Rattus norvegicus: one gene and its partner. The protein of the gene in region 1 interacts with the protein of each later gene in a biochemical or structural test. Links are inferred from orthologs where the notes say so. Each region holds a gene or a part of one and is shown in the gene's direction. Other genes may lie near its edges.

The links. The genes of interacting proteins can lie anywhere in the genome.
Region 2: the proteins of Fermt2 (region 1) and Ilk form a complex in vitro, tested with the Homo sapiens proteins (2 studies listed by BioGRID). The link is inferred for Rattus norvegicus from reciprocal best matches to the Homo sapiens genes FERMT2 and ILK.

What each region holds. Positions count from the first base shown.
Region 1 is NC_086033.1:21,227,015-21,234,822, reverse strand, and holds the start of Fermt2 (fermitin family homolog 2), read left to right. Parts: upstream 1-3,372; 5' UTR 3,373-3,457; intron 3,458-3,795; coding exon of another isoform or gene 3,796-3,804; coding exon 3,805-3,961; intron 3,962-7,808. UniProt on the Homo sapiens protein: Scaffolding protein that enhances integrin activation mediated by TLN1 and/or TLN2, but activates integrins only weakly by itself. Binds to membranes enriched in phosphoinositides.
Region 2 is NC_086019.1:169,497,451-169,505,302, forward strand, and holds the start of Ilk (integrin-linked protein kinase), read left to right. Parts: upstream 1-3,270; 5' UTR 3,271-3,285; exon of another isoform or gene 3,286-3,376; intron 3,377-3,668; 5' UTR 3,669-3,716; coding exon 3,717-3,805; intron 3,806-6,788; coding exon 6,789-6,954; intron 6,955-7,116; coding exon 7,117-7,212; intron 7,213-7,370; coding exon 7,371-7,467; intron 7,468-7,559; coding exon 7,560-7,643; intron 7,644-7,744; coding exon 7,745-7,830; intron 7,831-7,852. Other genes in the region: Rrp8 (ribosomal RNA-processing protein 8), read right to left, coding at 1-62, 142-248, 379-508, 608-1,061, 1,271-1,637, 2,866-2,964. UniProt on the Homo sapiens protein: Scaffold protein which mediates protein-protein interactions during a range of cellular events including focal adhesion assembly, cell adhesion and cell migration.

The sequences.
Region 1 (7,808 bases):
GTTCCGCTGTGCAAGCTTATATGTTTTTCTTTGCTCCATAGCTTCCTGGTCTTTTATGTTCCCCTGACTCCCCACCTCCTCTCCCACCTCACAGAGCCTAGACACTTATAACAAAACTGTGGCTATGTAACCTTCTTCCCACCCTATTTTCCTTGATTTCTGTCTTCTTGGTAGCTTTTCATCCCTGGCAATCTGCTTACCTAGTATTCGATAGAAATAATTCATTAGAGTTCATCATGCTGGCTTCATTTAAAATTCAAGCCCCCATCTTACATATTCATGCCTGAAACCTCTCTCCTTTAAACCCCACGATTGTGGTTTGTATTAATCTTTTAAAATAACTTTTAAAGTACATCATAAGCAGGTCCAGAGAAAGAGCTGAAGTCAACCTGAGGATTACCAAGCCCGGGGCTGGATCTGGTGACAGATCTGTGAGGTATCATTTGGTCTAAGTCTAAGCCCAGTGCTTGGTACCTTATATGGGTATTGCTGCTTTCAAAGCTGGAGCTGCTCTTCCAAACACTGGAGTTCTCGGCTCCTTTTCGGCATGATGTAAGTCCCACAAGTATTGAGTTGTCTTAGAGGTTCTGGGGCGGGGGTTCAGATAAGAGCCTACATTTAAATACATTAGAAAACATTAGGTAGAAGCAAATATTTAAGAAATGCACTTGAAGGTCTCACTTGATGAACTAGAAGGGGGAAAATATCCTGGTTTCAAAGGTTTGAGTTTTGGCTTCTCTTTAATCTTCAAAGCAGCAACAGCTTGAAATACTCAAAGCCAAGGCCTGAAAGAACAGGCTGCACCCACCCTAGTCATTCTTCCAGCGGTATTTCACCAAGGGTCCCTGCCTCCCAGTGCTCAGTACCACACTTGGCTTCAACAAGTTTGTCTGAGGAGAAGGAATATTCAGAAAGGACATGGATATTTTTGGTGCTAAGGCATGTTAGAGAGACTCTGGGCTTACTGGAACACACGGGCAGGTCATTAGGAATAATTCTGGGACCTCATTCCTCATTTCAAGTACCTACCCCATCCTCCTAAGCCTCAAACACATACACATCTTGTTCTTGTTTCCAGCCACTTCTAATGTCTGCTACCTCCTACCTTACGCGTCCTTTTACATCGCCACAGATCCTTTGGAGATAAGGGGAGGAAACAAACAGATGCAGTGGGCAACGAACATGCGTAAACATTTCACGAAGGGATTTCTTTAATAAAGAGATTTCCCCATGGGATAGGCCCCTGATTGTTTGATACTTTTTAATTGGTACCAATATGTTCTCTATATGTTTTGTGTCAACCTATTTGTAAATGTATAGATAACACAAATGTATAGTTAACTTTGAAGATGCCAACACACACCACACACACACACACACACACACACACACACACACACACACACACACAGAAAAAAAATGCAAATCCTGCCCACGAATCTGGTAGCTGCTGTGGCCAGTCTGTCCATCACACAGAGAAGGATTGCGGCAGTGAATACAGTTCTCAGTAGCCAGAAAAGTCCAGGATGTGGCAGGTTTTGAGGTGGTTAGAAAAAGAAAGACTAAAACCAACCAATCAAAAGAAAACCCCTCAAGACCACAACACCAAATAATTAACATTTGGGGACTTTCCTCCTAATCTTTTTTAAAATCTAAATATTTAAAAATGGTTGGGTTCTTGATTTTACAGTGGCACGTACGGGGTTTTCTACAGATCTTTGTTTGTTTGCTTTTTGGAGACAGAGTCTCTCTAATAGTCCAGGTTGTCCTGGAACTCACTATGTAGGCCTGGCTAGCTTTGAACTCAGAAAGATCTGCCAGCCTCTGTCTTCCGAGCGCTGGGATTAAAGGCATGCACCACTACGCCTGGTTTGTAAAGTGTTTTGTTTGTTTGTTTTTTTGTTTTGTTTTGTTTTTTATCTTTTACCCACGCAACTAATTCTCTACATTATTAAAAAACATTCTCCTATATTTTTCCAACAACATAATTTCATCAACGCCGTTTCCACCCTGAACAACACTGTTTCTAAGTAAACCACTCACAAACGTCTACAAGTAGAAATAACTGGAGAGAGGCAAGCTTAGAGAGAGGCATCAGTTTCTCCATGATGACTAGCTAGCGTTAGATGAGTGGTTTCCCTTTTTTTTCCACTCCCAAACCTCTGGCATTTGACTAAGTTTTTCTGCTTTCACTCCCTTACGGGTGTCCACTCCTTTCTGGCGACTGTGCTTTTTCTTTCGATGTTGTATGGATGAACAAAGGGTTGTTTGCGCGGTAGATTTCCCCTTTGAAGCGTGTAGGGCAGTTCAAGAAGTCCAAGACACTTTTTAAAAGCCTGGATCTTTTACAGTGTCTTATCTGACTCTCCCTGACTTGCTGATTCTGAACAGTTCCTTTCAACAGAGTGTAATAGTTAAAGGGAACGTGGAAGTGGGCTGTCGGAGATCGTTCTCTATCACTAGTCAAAGTCTATAACAGGTAAAAGTTCTGTCCTCTGAACACCGGTTCAGAGCTACTTAAATGTCTTCGAGGTGTGTCGGAGGGTGAGGAAGAGAATGTGCGTGCAACCAGAACACTGAGTCCTCTAAGTTGTGGAGGAAAAGTCCCAAATACGCGCAAACAGTTGGCGAGGGTGGAGAAGCGGTCTCGGGTAAGCCACTGCCCGGGGAGGGGGTGGGGGGTGGTCCCCCTTTTCCAGCAGGAGCGCATGGGCCACCCTCTTGGGTCTGGCAGGCATTTGTGTCCGAGGGATTTGTAATGCTCGCCATCTCTCGGGGTCCCGCAGGAGCTGCGGATTGGAGGGGGACCCTGCTTGCCAGGCAACTTTTGTGGCTCATCGCTCCTCTGTCCTTTCTCCTACTCTTGTGGGATGTTCAAGGCAGACATCGTAAAGTTTCTGCATCCCAACTTCTCTCCCTAGCTCCCCGGCGCGGTGCCTTCGCGCCCGGGTTCCACGCACAGGTCCCGGGGTCTGGGAACTTGGCGAGGCTGCTTCTCACGCACGAACCCGGGACCCCGCTGCAGGCGCCGCCTCGGCCCCGCGCGCGCCCCCGCCCCCCTCCCCAGCTCCGCAGCCGAGAGCCCGGATGTTGGATTCCATCCCTGCGCCTGGTCCTTCATTTCCATAAAAGGGCAGCGCTCCGCAGGGCCGAGATTGCGGCCGCCGCCTCCCCCCGCGGCGCTCCCCCGAGGCGCGCGCCGCCCGGGCCCCACCAGAGCGCGCGCGGCCCCCGCGGGAGCGCGGCGGGAGGAGAGCCGGAGAGGAGGGGGCGGAGGCCGGCTGCGGGCGGTACTGCGGGGCGGGGGCCGGGGCCGGGGCGGGGAGAGGGGGTGGGGCGGGGGCCGCGGCGCCGGGACTCCATTAGCCGCAGCGGGAGCCTTCGCTTCCCTCAGAAGCAGCGACGCGGGCGCCGCCGGCCTCGCCTGTTGCCGCGGGAGCCGGGCGGGAGGAGCACGGTGAGGGGCGCAGCGGGAGAACAGAGCGCGGGGAGGACGCGGCGGAGCGGAGCGGAGCGCGGGCCAGCGCAGCGCGGTCACCCGGGCCGGGTGGGGAGGCGCGGAGCGGGCCGGGCGCAGCGGCGGCAGGTGAAGGCGCCCGAGTCCGCTAGGCGGGTGCGGCGGGCGGAGGCCGCGGTCTGGGTGCCGAGGCGCCCGCAACCGGGCCCTCGGGGGTGCGCGCTTAGCCGCGGCTCCTCCGCCTTCTCCCTTGCTGCGGCCGGCGCCGTGGACTCGGTGGGGTTTGTCTTCCTTTGGGGGAGTGACGCTGACGAGAGCCATTTCCTCCGCGCTCGCAGGAAGGAGCCATGGCTCTGGACGGGATAAGGATGCCAGATGGCTGCTACGCGGACGGGACGTGGGAACTGAGCGTCCATGTCACCGACCTGAACCGTGATGTCACCCTCAGAGTGACCGGGGAGGTGCACATCGGAGGGGTGATGCTGAAGTTGGTGGAAAAACTCGGTGAGTAGCACCCCTGATGCCTCCAATGAAGACTTCCCAGAATGAGAGGAGGGGGTGGGGAGGAAAGACGGCGGGGGGAGGGGTGGGATTGGGAGATCCTAGCACCCGGCGTGTGCTGCGCTTAAAATGCGAAATTTGTTGCTATCGGGGCGCATAGACTCGCTCCCCTCCGCGTCCTGTTTGTTATTTTGATTTTTACATAAGGTAGTGATTCGAGCCTACTAAATAGTTAACTGCGGATTCCCGGGACGACTTGTTGAAAGCAACGAGGAGGAGAGTATGCAGGTGAAAGTTGTGAATGTGGTATTACGGGTCTGTAGGTGTTAACGCCTCATACCCTCATTGAACCTGGGTGTGGATGACGCTGTTTATTGGGGAGAGTGTGCACTGGCGTCGGTCGGTATGAAGTTTCTGTAGCTGTACTACGTGATGGAGTGCCCTGAAATGTTCCACTCTGAGCTCTTGCGAGGGGTGGGGCAGTGCTTCACAAACTTGGTATCTGTATTCTGAGTTGGAAGTGAGCTATTTCGAGCATTAAGAAGCCAATGAAAGAACTTCGTTTTTTTGGTGGTTCTTTTTTTCTTTTTTTTTTTCTTTTCAAGCAGACACTAAACTGAGTTGAAGTTGACAGTATTTATTTGAGTACACATGGATACTGGATTGATTCTGCCTCGATTGTAAGCCAGGGCTGTCACCCAGGATATTTGAGAAAATGGCACTACCCATTTTGTGATAAGGCAAACCGTTTTCACCTGGCAGAAGGACCGGACTAGATAAGATGATGATTTTATCGGGAGAGCTTTTATCTGAGGAACAGCTTTCAGACCTGCAAAGTGCTTGCTGCTGTGGGATAATGAAGTGATAAGGTGTTTTGTGTGGGGATGTCTTTTTGGCGGGGTTAGTTGGTTTTAATCAGTATTCATGCTTCAGGCCATCCTGGAAAAGTAAGGAATATTCGTCTCTCAGAAAATATATTTCTTATCAAGGAGGAAGGGGAACTGCCTATTTACCATATAAACTTAAATGAAATAGCCTGATACAATTTGGGAATTAGGCTGATTTCATTTATTAGGTGAATCTACTTAATGCCCCTGCAGGGAATTTAATTATTGGAGGTCTAAAGAGGAGCTCGTTGTACCGCCTCTCAGTAGCAGGGTCCTCCCAGTACTGTCCGTTGTCGATGCCAGAGACAGCCCAGAAAGAGCCACCAACCAAGTAACTGTCGGTTCACTGCTTTTTTTTTTTTTTTTTTTTTTTTTTTTAATGTGATTCAAGTTAATCACTGTTGGCAAAATACTTACCAACCTTTTTTGTCCAGTTCCACTTGGGGATGAAAACTACCCAATATGGTTCCTGTTTGACAAGGACCCGGTAGTTTGTATCAGAGTGCCTTATATGTGATTAGTGGACCTTGCTGATACATTGCCGTTTTTAATTATTTGATTGGTTAATTTTTTGGTTTTGTTATCCGAGACTATAGTCTCACTATGTAGCTCTGGCTGGCTTTGAACCCGCCGTGTAGACCAGCCTGCTCTGCTTCTGAGTTGTGGCATTTAAAGGGGTGCCCTCCCCATGCCCAGCTCTACACGGTAATTTTTTTTTTTTTTTAAGTAATGCAATAAAAGATCTGTCAAAGGTGACTTAGACGAGTTGGAATTCTCAAAAAGCCAGGCTTTAATGAATAAATAATGATTTCTACTATATTTACATCACTTTGACTGACTGTGTTATGAAATCACAATTATAAATAGAATTGTTGGGGGATGAGCTGTCTGTAGACAGGATTGATACTTCTGAGTAACTATCTTAATCATGCCGATGTTAATTAATTACATGGAACGAGGGGGACACAGGGATGCCTCTGTGTGTAGGAATTTTGTACCTGTCCTCAGTTGGACCAGTTCTCTCGAGTTCTAAGTTCCAAATGGGGGAGGCATTGCAGACTTTTGACAAGTACACAAGAGTGGGATACCATTTAAAATGTCCACAAATCAGACCAGGCAAATTAGAAAGGAATTTTTGCAGTTTTTCGGGTTTGTCTTAACATTGGGATGGGCTGCCTTCTGAAGCCCTGCGTGTTATCAGCAAAGGTATTAAAAGACCAACTCGATGACTCTTGCCAACAGTGGCTGACTAGATCAAAGCAGCCTACAGGAGTCTAGGTAAGAGGTGGAGGTCTTTTTAGGGATGAGATGGTACGGTGTCTGGTGTCTTCAGATTGCACAGCTGTACTGGGCATGTAGCAGAAGCAGGCTTACGGGGCCATGGAACGGTTAGTGGCAGTATACTGCAGGCAGCCTTAACTGTGTATGATGACCCTGTCAGCCTCACTGGAGGGTAGATGATTAGCAAAGGCTTTACAATTCACGGCACCCCATGATTCCCTGGAGTTAATAGACCCCAGGTTGACCCTCCCTTTCATGCCTTGAGTTGTGGAAGCTCTGGAAAGGGGGTACCTTTGCTGTCATTAGGTCCTCAGAGATGCAGGTGAGCAGTGAAGGGAGCAGCCATTGTGTACAGCAGGTTTTACTGTACAGCTGGTGTCCCTCCTGGAGCAGACCAAGTCGGGAGCATTGATGATGCTTTCTTGGTGTGTGTCAGCGGTTATCCTTGTAGTTGGTTTCAGTCTTTTCTGAAGAACACTTGCATTCCAGGGAATGTAGTTATCTAAACCTGATTCTCAGATTTATTACTTTAATTCCCAACCTCTGAAAAGACTCTTACGTCTTAGCATGGACCACATTCGTCATTCTGCTTTAGACATTAAAAGAAAACAAGAAGTATATGCCGTGAATGCGATAATGGGCTTTGGGGGTTTATAGCTTGATGAAACTTTTATGATTGGCCTGTGTAGGCTGATCGTAGACAGTCTCATTATTGTACATCTCCATGTATGTGAAGAACTGCTTTTTTTTTATCCTTCTTTAAATGCTATATAGAACACTTTAAATAAGGGCTTTAAATATTACTATAGTCTTTTTTATTAAAATAAAATGTTAACGGCCACTGTGGTGGCACATACTTTTAATCCCAGCATCCAGGAAGCAGAGACAGGTGGATCTCTTGAGTTTGAGGCCAGTCTGGTCTACAGAGCAAATTCCAGGACAACCAAGCTACAGAGAAAAATTCAGTTTCAAAAAACCCAAAAACAAATAAGTTAAAAAAAAAAGAAAATTTAGATGTGTGTAGTTTAATTTTCTTTTAACTTGGGTATAAATGGTACTGTTCTATAAGGATAATTTCATACACGTATATGCCATGCATTGAACATGTGTTAGTTTTGTTTTGAAGCAGCATCTCATGTATCCTGAGCTGGCCTGGAACTCACTATGTAGCTCAGGCTGGCCCTGAAAATACTGGGATCCATGCATAGCATGTCTGGTGTGTATAGTTTTTGTTGTTGTTGTTTTTGAGGTTTTCTTGTTTGTCTGTTTGTTTTTAAGAGAAAAAACTTATATCAAGGATAAGGATTGTAAAAATAAGATGAAAAAAGATACAATTTAAAACAATTATATCTAAAAATAAATTGTAAAAGAAAGCTTAATTGGCTGGGATGCCTCTGGAGATCACTGGAAAGCAATTAGACCTGTGAGAGTCAGGGATTCATCAGCATTGAGGATTCTGGGTACCAAAGGGGATGCTTAATTGGTGTTCTGTTTGGTTTTTCCTTTTTCTCTAGGTACTCTGAGCTTTTGTCCACTAAGTTTTAGAGTCACTTTTAGATGACTTTCTAACAACTCGGTTTGCGTCTCTCTAGAAATACTCACTTTCAGTGGTGAGTAAGGAATGCGTGATAGTGCGGAGCTTAATGAATGGAAGTTTCAGCAGCTAGCTCTGTGAGCTGGGA
Region 2 (7,852 bases), on another chromosome or scaffold:
CCCCCAAAAAGGTCCGAATATCCTCAAAGCGGCTGCTGACTTCCGCTACTTTGAGAAGACCCCTGGGAAAAGGAGGAAGTCATGTGTAAAGGTGTAGACTCATGCATGCACAGCAAAATCATCTGTGTTCTAGGGACTCACCCTGGCTTTAGCACTCGATTCGCCTCCTCAAGGAAGTCCCTGATGTTGGTTCCCATTAGTGAAAGGCAAAACACAGCCACATCCACAGACTCATCCTCCAGAGGTACCTGATGAAGAAGAATGTTAATTGGAGTACACAGTGTTGGAAGAGGAAATCCAGCACCAAAATGCTTGAACTGGATAATCTGATGAGAAGACCAGGAAGAAGGGTAAGATCAGATACACAAAAGGGCTTACCTGGGCCATGTCACACACAGTGACCCTGGGGTCCAGAGCAGCCAAATCAAAACAGTGCACGGGGTTCCGAACACTTGAAGCTAGGCGGCAATCTCCACAGCCAAAGTCAGCTACCACTAAGGATGCAGGCCTAGGAGTGGAAGGGAGGGTCGGGTCACTTATTGGTCTGGTCAAAGTCTTGATCACCACCACCACCCCTCTCGTAGTCTATAGCCCGCCCCCCTATTACTTCTGACGGAGATCTTTGGCAATGCGGTCCACGGGGTGCAGTGGCCACTTCTTTACTTGTCTCTGAAAGCCACGGTGATAAAGGAGAAAAGCCTCAGGGTCTTCCTGGAATAGGCATTGGGCAGCACTGCTGGGCCCTGAGTACAGCTGTTCATTAAGGTAGCGAAATCGGGCCCCATCCAGGCGTTGTGTCATGCGTGCTCGCAGGGCTCCAGCTCTAGTCTCTTGACTGTCTGACTTTGGAGCAGGAGGCACCTCAGTCTCCTCTATGGAAGCCTTGAGAGGCACCTGGTCCTGTGTCTCAAGTGGCCGAAATTTGTTCTTGTGTCTCCGCTTATTTTTCTGCCGGTTCCGCCACTGCTTGCGGCTCAGGGTGTGTGAGGAGTTAGGTGATGCAGACTCACGGCTTGACTTGGGTGGGTCAAGTGTAGCAGTACTTGTCCTAGAATTGTGAACTGCAGAGAGGGAGATGAGAAGGCATTTGAGGCTTGATCCCCTAAATTCAGAGGCACAGGAAGTCATCCTGGCTACTCCCTTGTCCTTAAGACAGAGTCTATAGCCTCTTACCATCCAGCCCATGGTGTGTGTGTGTGCGTACAAGAGAAAGACAGTGCCATCTACACAGTCAGTTCATACCCCTCCCCCCATTCACATATACTGGTACCTGTTTGGTCAACACTGTTCAGGGACTGGGTTGGGTGTAAATAAGAATATTCCTGGCATTTCCTCTTTCCTTTTTCTTCTCCAGCAGAGATCCCGCCAAGAGGAGGAGCTTGTCTGTGGCATGTTCTTTCCACTTCTTTCCCCTCAGAGTCACTGATAAATGGTGCCTGTTTTTGACACTTCCCTTTTCTTTTCTTCCCTACTTCCTTTGAGACATTGGCAAGTGAGGACCTTTGGAAGTGTCTCTTCTTCCTTCCTACCTCCTCCTCTTCCTCAGAGTCACTGCCAGGTAGGCTGGGGCATTGCTGGGAGAGAGATGCTGCTTCCAGGGCTCGTAATGTAGCCAAGAGATGGCGGCGCTTACGGCCCTGGAGGCAAACAAGGGATAAGAGTGTGTATGTGAGAATGGATGAGGCCTGAAGGCTATGAAAAGAGATGGACTTCAGCTACTGGTGGTCCTTCCCATCCAAAATTAGCACATTTGTTGTGAAGTCAGCCAAGTCCAGAACTTTCAGGCTGCAATTCCAACCTCTGGGAGGCAGGAGGGCAGACAATGTTCCCGTTCTACTTTTCTAAATGGGTAAAGGATTGCCAGTTGATTTCCTTAGAGGAATGTGCTAAGCACCCAAGCAACGGGACCAAGGTAAGACTGTGGCTATCTTTGCCTCTCACTGACAGCATTCTAGGGGCAGCAGAGGTTTTTTTTTTTTTTTTTTTTTTTGTTTGTTTGTTTGTTTTGAAACAGGACGGACAGTGTCACACATGTCTGTCTATTAAAGATATTCCTAACTGCAGTAGAAGGAACAGCCTGTTAGGAAGAAGCTGCACACAGACAAGCAGAAATGGACCACAGAAATGAATAGTACATCCTAGGCTGACTGAAGGTCAGGAACAGCTTAAGGGGATATAGAATTCCTCACATCTGATGAGACTCAAAGGAAAAGGCCTGTTTTCCGTGAAGTTGATTTGGGGTTCAAGTCCTACTGCTGGTCCTCAGCCAGACCCTTACCTTGGAGGTTCTAGATTCCCTGAGCCTCCTTTGAATAGTGATTCTGATACTTTCCCTGTCACCTGCCTTGATTCTGTCTAATATACACTGCAACTAAAAACCCTTTCAAGGTTTCGGATTCAGCTATGTAGTAAATGCTTGTCTACCATGCTGAAGCCCTGGAATCGAACCTCAGTATATAAAGTAATGCCAGGTGAGAGAAAACTTGGAGAAACCACTCCACTGCTAAAACTCCACTGATTTCTACCCTTAGTGTACAGAAAACTTACTAACTTTTCAAGCTCTGCGCTCCAAGCTCCTAATCCCGCATTCCTATTAGGACACACTGTGATACGGTGAGTTACTGCCCGGGAGCTTCTCAACATTTTTCTAAATCTCAGGTACGCTCTTCTCCACACCAACTTCTCACCAATTATGTTTTAAGGTCAGTTTTTTGGAGAGTTTCCGGATCTTCAGATCATGACTAACTCTCTCACCATCCTGATAAACGACAGCATTTCAGGCTCTCCCTCTACCCAACACGACCCCGGGAGGATCGACTTTGCCTCCTTAAAACTCTTCAAATAGCCCGGTGCAGGGCCGCTCACCTTGACTGGCGGGGCAGTCGCCGCCTGAACCTGTGTTGTCACGGGCCGGAGGCCAACGATGGCTGGGGCCGCCTCGACCCATTCGGGCTCCTCAAACATACCGGTGGCCGGCAGGGTTGGAGGAGTCTACGCTCTGGCCCACGTGTAGCGCGCGTCCGAGAATCCTAGGACTGGAGCCAGACCAAACTCGGCCGGAAGCCACCGAGAGAAATTCTGTGGTGGCTAGAGCGGCCCGCGCGGAGCAGAGCACCATCGAGTGTAACCGCTCCTGAGCTAGAGAGGCAGTAGGAGGTCGGAAGGGAGGGACCGCGGCCCGCGCTGGCTGGAGAGGGCCGGGCCGGGCCGGGCCGGGGCGGGGCCGGGCGGCGGGCGCGGCCGGACGGGAGTTCCCCGGAGAAGCCGCCTGCGACCCGAGTCCCGGTGAGTGCGGGTAGTTCCGCGCCCTGTTCCATGCTGGTCTTGCAAACCTGTCTCTGCGATCTCTACAGTAGCTCTGAGCCGGGGCCGCCGGGCAAGGACCCCTTTCCCCTCCCCCGGGTGTTTGCAGCTTTGGGCCCCTCCCCTCCCCCCAAGCCGTGTTCTAGGGCCGTGACTCGGAGCCCGCTGACGCCAACTCAGGAAACTAGCAAAGTCTACCCTATACCTCCAGATCCCCCTGCTCCTCGAGCCCAGGGGTCGTCCGCTGCCCGAAGCCCTTCACAGACAACCACTGTCCCTTTCGCGACGCTCCCCATCCCAGCACTGACACCTCTGTCCTGAGGGAACAGAGATAGAGTCATTCTCTTGTCTCTGTTCTCCCGCAGTTCCCCGAGACTTCCCCAGTCCCGGGGTCTCTGTGCCGGGACGCTGCTATGGACGACATTTTCACTCAGTGCCGGGAGGGCAACGCGGTGGCGGTGCGCTTGTGGCTGGACAACACAGAGAACGACCTAAATCAGGGGTGAGCTGAAGCATTGGCGAGTGAGAGGACTGCTAGAAGTCCGCTCTCCGCTACTTGGGGTGCTCATGTCGGGCGGAGACAGCTAACTTTGTTATCCAGTGTGATGAGGAGTATTAGAAAGCAAAGTCTGTTGATGGAGGAGGGTTTACAGAGAGGAAGCTGTGTCTGGGTTTTTTGTTTTTACTAAGTTTCACAATCGGTTCCCGAGGACTTTGCAGCCTCTGTGAACTCATGTCAAAGGCAGACCAGAGTGCCAGAAAATTGGAATTACATGTGGTTGGAGGATGAGTTTCTGCGCCCTAGAGCATTGGATAGAAGTGGAAAAGGACATTAGAGATCTAAAGTTCTGAAGCTGTGTAGTGATGAGACTACCCATTTGTCAGGTGTCACCGTGGATGCAATTGCCTTAAAGTGATGTTTTGGATACAAGAATTGAGACAGGGTTAGTGGTGAGAGCCCTAAAGTCATAAGAATGAAGTAGTTGAGTTGGTATGGGAAGTGAAGGAGGAAGTCAAAGATGACCTGGGGTTTAGGTTTGGGAACTTGGACACTTGGCAGTTGCCGATGCTCCATTTTGGACTGACTACAGTTTGGTGACACTACAATAACTTGGAAATGCTTGACAGGTTGTTGTTCGTGCAGATTTTAAGTTCGAGAGAGGTCTGATTGGGATACCAAGATACCATAAATTAGCGTTTAAATGATACCTGAAGATTCTATAAGGTGAAAAATAGTACCTCAGAAGAGGAGTAAAATAAAGGCAGAGGTCGAGAAGGCTGGCTGACTGACAGGGAACAACCATCTGAAGGAGAAATAAGAAATGGACTAAGATTAGAGAATGGATGTTTTAATGGAAGAAGAGTGGTTAATTATAGGCCACTGAGAAGTTAAAGAACATAAGTGAGCATTTTAAGTCTTCATTTAGTTTCCATTTAGGATGTATTTGGTCTTTGAATGGTATTGCAGAAAGTAACAGGAAACTGCATTACACTGGGTTCCTTCAAATAAGAACTCCTTGAGGGATTGGGAATGTAGCTCAGTGGTAGAGCATTTACATAGCAAGTGCAAGGCCTTGGGTTTGGTCCTCAGCTCCGGGGGCGGGGGGGGGGGGGGGAATCCTTGCATAAGACCTCATCTATTCCCTATAGATGGCAGGCTTCTGTCAGGGAAAAAAGTGAATGGAAAGTGAGGAAACAGATAATGTGAACACTTTCTACAATGCTGGCTGATATAAGAAAGCAAGAAATGCAGTGTTGGAAGAGTTTAGTAGGTAGTTTTGGTTTGCTTTTGGAGACAGCCTGTCATGTAGTTCAGAATGGCCTCCAGCTCTCCTTCCTCCTGCGTCAGTCAGCCTTCTGAGTGCTGGGATTTCCATTTGTTGCAACTGTATTTGACTATAAGAGGATTGTTTTAGGTTGGAAAGGATCATCTGTCATCCTAGGCCAGGTTTCACCAGCTTCCATTAGGGTGAATACTGTTTCTCTGTTATATTCAAAGTTACTTGTTTCATTTTTTTTTACATTAACTTGTGCGCTCTGTAAACACTAAGCTGTCTGTCCTATTTTGTTGGTAAGAAAATAGAAGTTTAGGCTGTTGTCCAGTGGGAGTGGCATCTGGAAGAATCCTTGTTGTCAAAAGGTGAAGGGTATCATTAGGGAAACCAGAAAGCTTTGGTGGCTTGAAGGGAAAGGGCAGTGCTGGAGGTGGTTAACTCCCTGCAGGCATTCTTCAGATAGAAATCCAGGCCCTCAGGTGACAGTGGGCAAAACATTTGCATTTGTTCTCAAGCTTAAGCTTCCTCTGAGGCCACAGACTTCTGGAAGTTGTTTGGTCAGAATACATGAAGTCTGGGAGAGAAGACTGATAGGATAGCAATGGATATACTCACATCCTCAGAAAGCTTTTGCCGAGTTTGTATTAACTGATGAGGGCAGACTAGAGGGACAATTTTTTTTTTTTTTTTTTGGATCTTTTTTTCGGAGCTGGGCAATTATTTAAAGCTACATATCTCCTTCAACTGTTGGGGGATTCTGGGTGACCAAGCCAGGATCAACTCAAGGCCCCTCCTCCAGCCCCCTCACAGGAAGTGACCACAGCACTAAAGCATCTGGAGGCTGCAGGCCTAGACCACAGACCGCCCCCTGTTCCGCCCCTCAGATCTGCATCCCAGGGCTGGAGGGAATTTCCTTTTATGGCTCCAGGCTGTCAGTTTGACCCAGCCCATACAGTTGTTTTGTTTGTACACTTCTCTTTATAAAATATATGTCCTTAGGGGATGAAAATAAAACTCAGATATATTTTTTATTCAAAAGCTTCAATTTATATTTTCCTCTGTGAATTTTGGTTGGTAAGTAGGAACATCCGGGTTTGTGTGGTTATCTGCCTCTTCAGTAATCAAAAGCATGTTTGTTGTTGTACCCCTTCAAAATATTTTAATTCCATTCCATTTTTAGATGTCAGCTTCAATAACAGAGCCAAAAGTAAGCCTGTTTCCTCTCCTAAGTTGTATAGCCTGTCTTCTCCAGTATGCCTTTGTAACTTTACAGCAAGGAGATGCACAAAAGCAGTCAAAGGATGATAGGTGTTACTAAAGATGCATGAGCTGGAGATGAAGCCTAGTGGTATAGCATGTGCCAAGCATACGAGGTCCTGGGTGTGCTTCCTAGCACTGTCAGATGGGAAGACAAGAAGGTAGGGAACCCAGAGGACCCCAGAAGAGTACTGTCTACCTAATGAAATAGAACTGCTAGGAAAGGAGTTGTGGTTAAAGTGATAAACCTTAGAGCTGTTGGGACATCTAGGTGATTGTTGGGTGTAAAGCTCAAGGGAAAATCTGAACTGAACTTTAGGAATTGCCAACACAAGTAGAAATTAAGTCTTAAAGAGGCAAGCCTTCTTAGTGGCTACAGAATTTCTTTTCCCCGATGAATCAAAGCTTTGTCCTTCCCAACACCAGCTTAGTGTCTATGTCCTTTTCTCAAAGGGATGATCATGGCTTCTCCCCTTTGCACTGGGCCTGCCGAGAAGGCCGATCTGCAGTGGTTGAAATGCTGATCATGCGGGGAGCACGGATCAATGTGATGAATCGTGGGGATGATACCCCCCTGCACTTGGCAGCTAGTCACGGACACCGTGACATTGTACAGAAGGTACATGCAAATCCTTTACCATCCACATCTCACACACAATATGAAGCCAGTAACAGGCACTGTCATGTGGAGAATGTGTGCTATTCTTTCTTTCTTCGTGCCTGGACACAAGTATCTCACAGGAACTGACTGCCCTTTTCTTTTCTTGGCCATGGGACGCAGCTGTTGCAATACAAGGCTGACATCAATGCAGTGAATGAACATGGGAATGTGCCCCTTCACTATGCATGTTTCTGGGGCCAAGACCAGGTGGCAGAGGTAAGTACTCAGACCCCAGGTCCTATGGTGAGTGGGAAGCAAACTGGGCATGGAACCATCAGTGCACCTGTCAGTCCCACTGTGGGACAGTTACAGAACTGTCGTTGCGTCCATGTGTTCATGCTTGTTTGTGACTGGCCTGACAATTTTCTTTTCAGGACCTAGTAGCTAACGGGGCTCTTGTGAGCATCTGTAACAAGTATGGAGAGATGCCTGTGGACAAAGCCAAGGCACCCCTTCGAGAGCTTCTCCGAGGTTCATTATCTACTCCTAGCTTGTCTCTTGTCCCACCTTGCATCTTCTCTCTCCATAGCACAATTAAAGCCAAGACCATTCTTTTTCTCTAGAACGGGCAGAGAAGATGGGCCAGAATCTTAATCGTATTCCATACAAGGACACATTCTGGAAGGGGACCACTCGCACAAGGCCCCGTGAGTCACTACTGTGGGGGGAAGGGCTGCAACACAAGATTCCTGGGTTATTGGTGTCATATTAAGGTGAAGCTGGGTACCTGACCTGCTCATATTCTCAGGAAATGGGACCCTGAACAAACACTCTGGTATTGACTTCAAACAGCTCAACTTTCTGGCAAAGCTCAACGAGAATCATTCTGGAGAGGTGATCCCTGCCCATTTTGTTT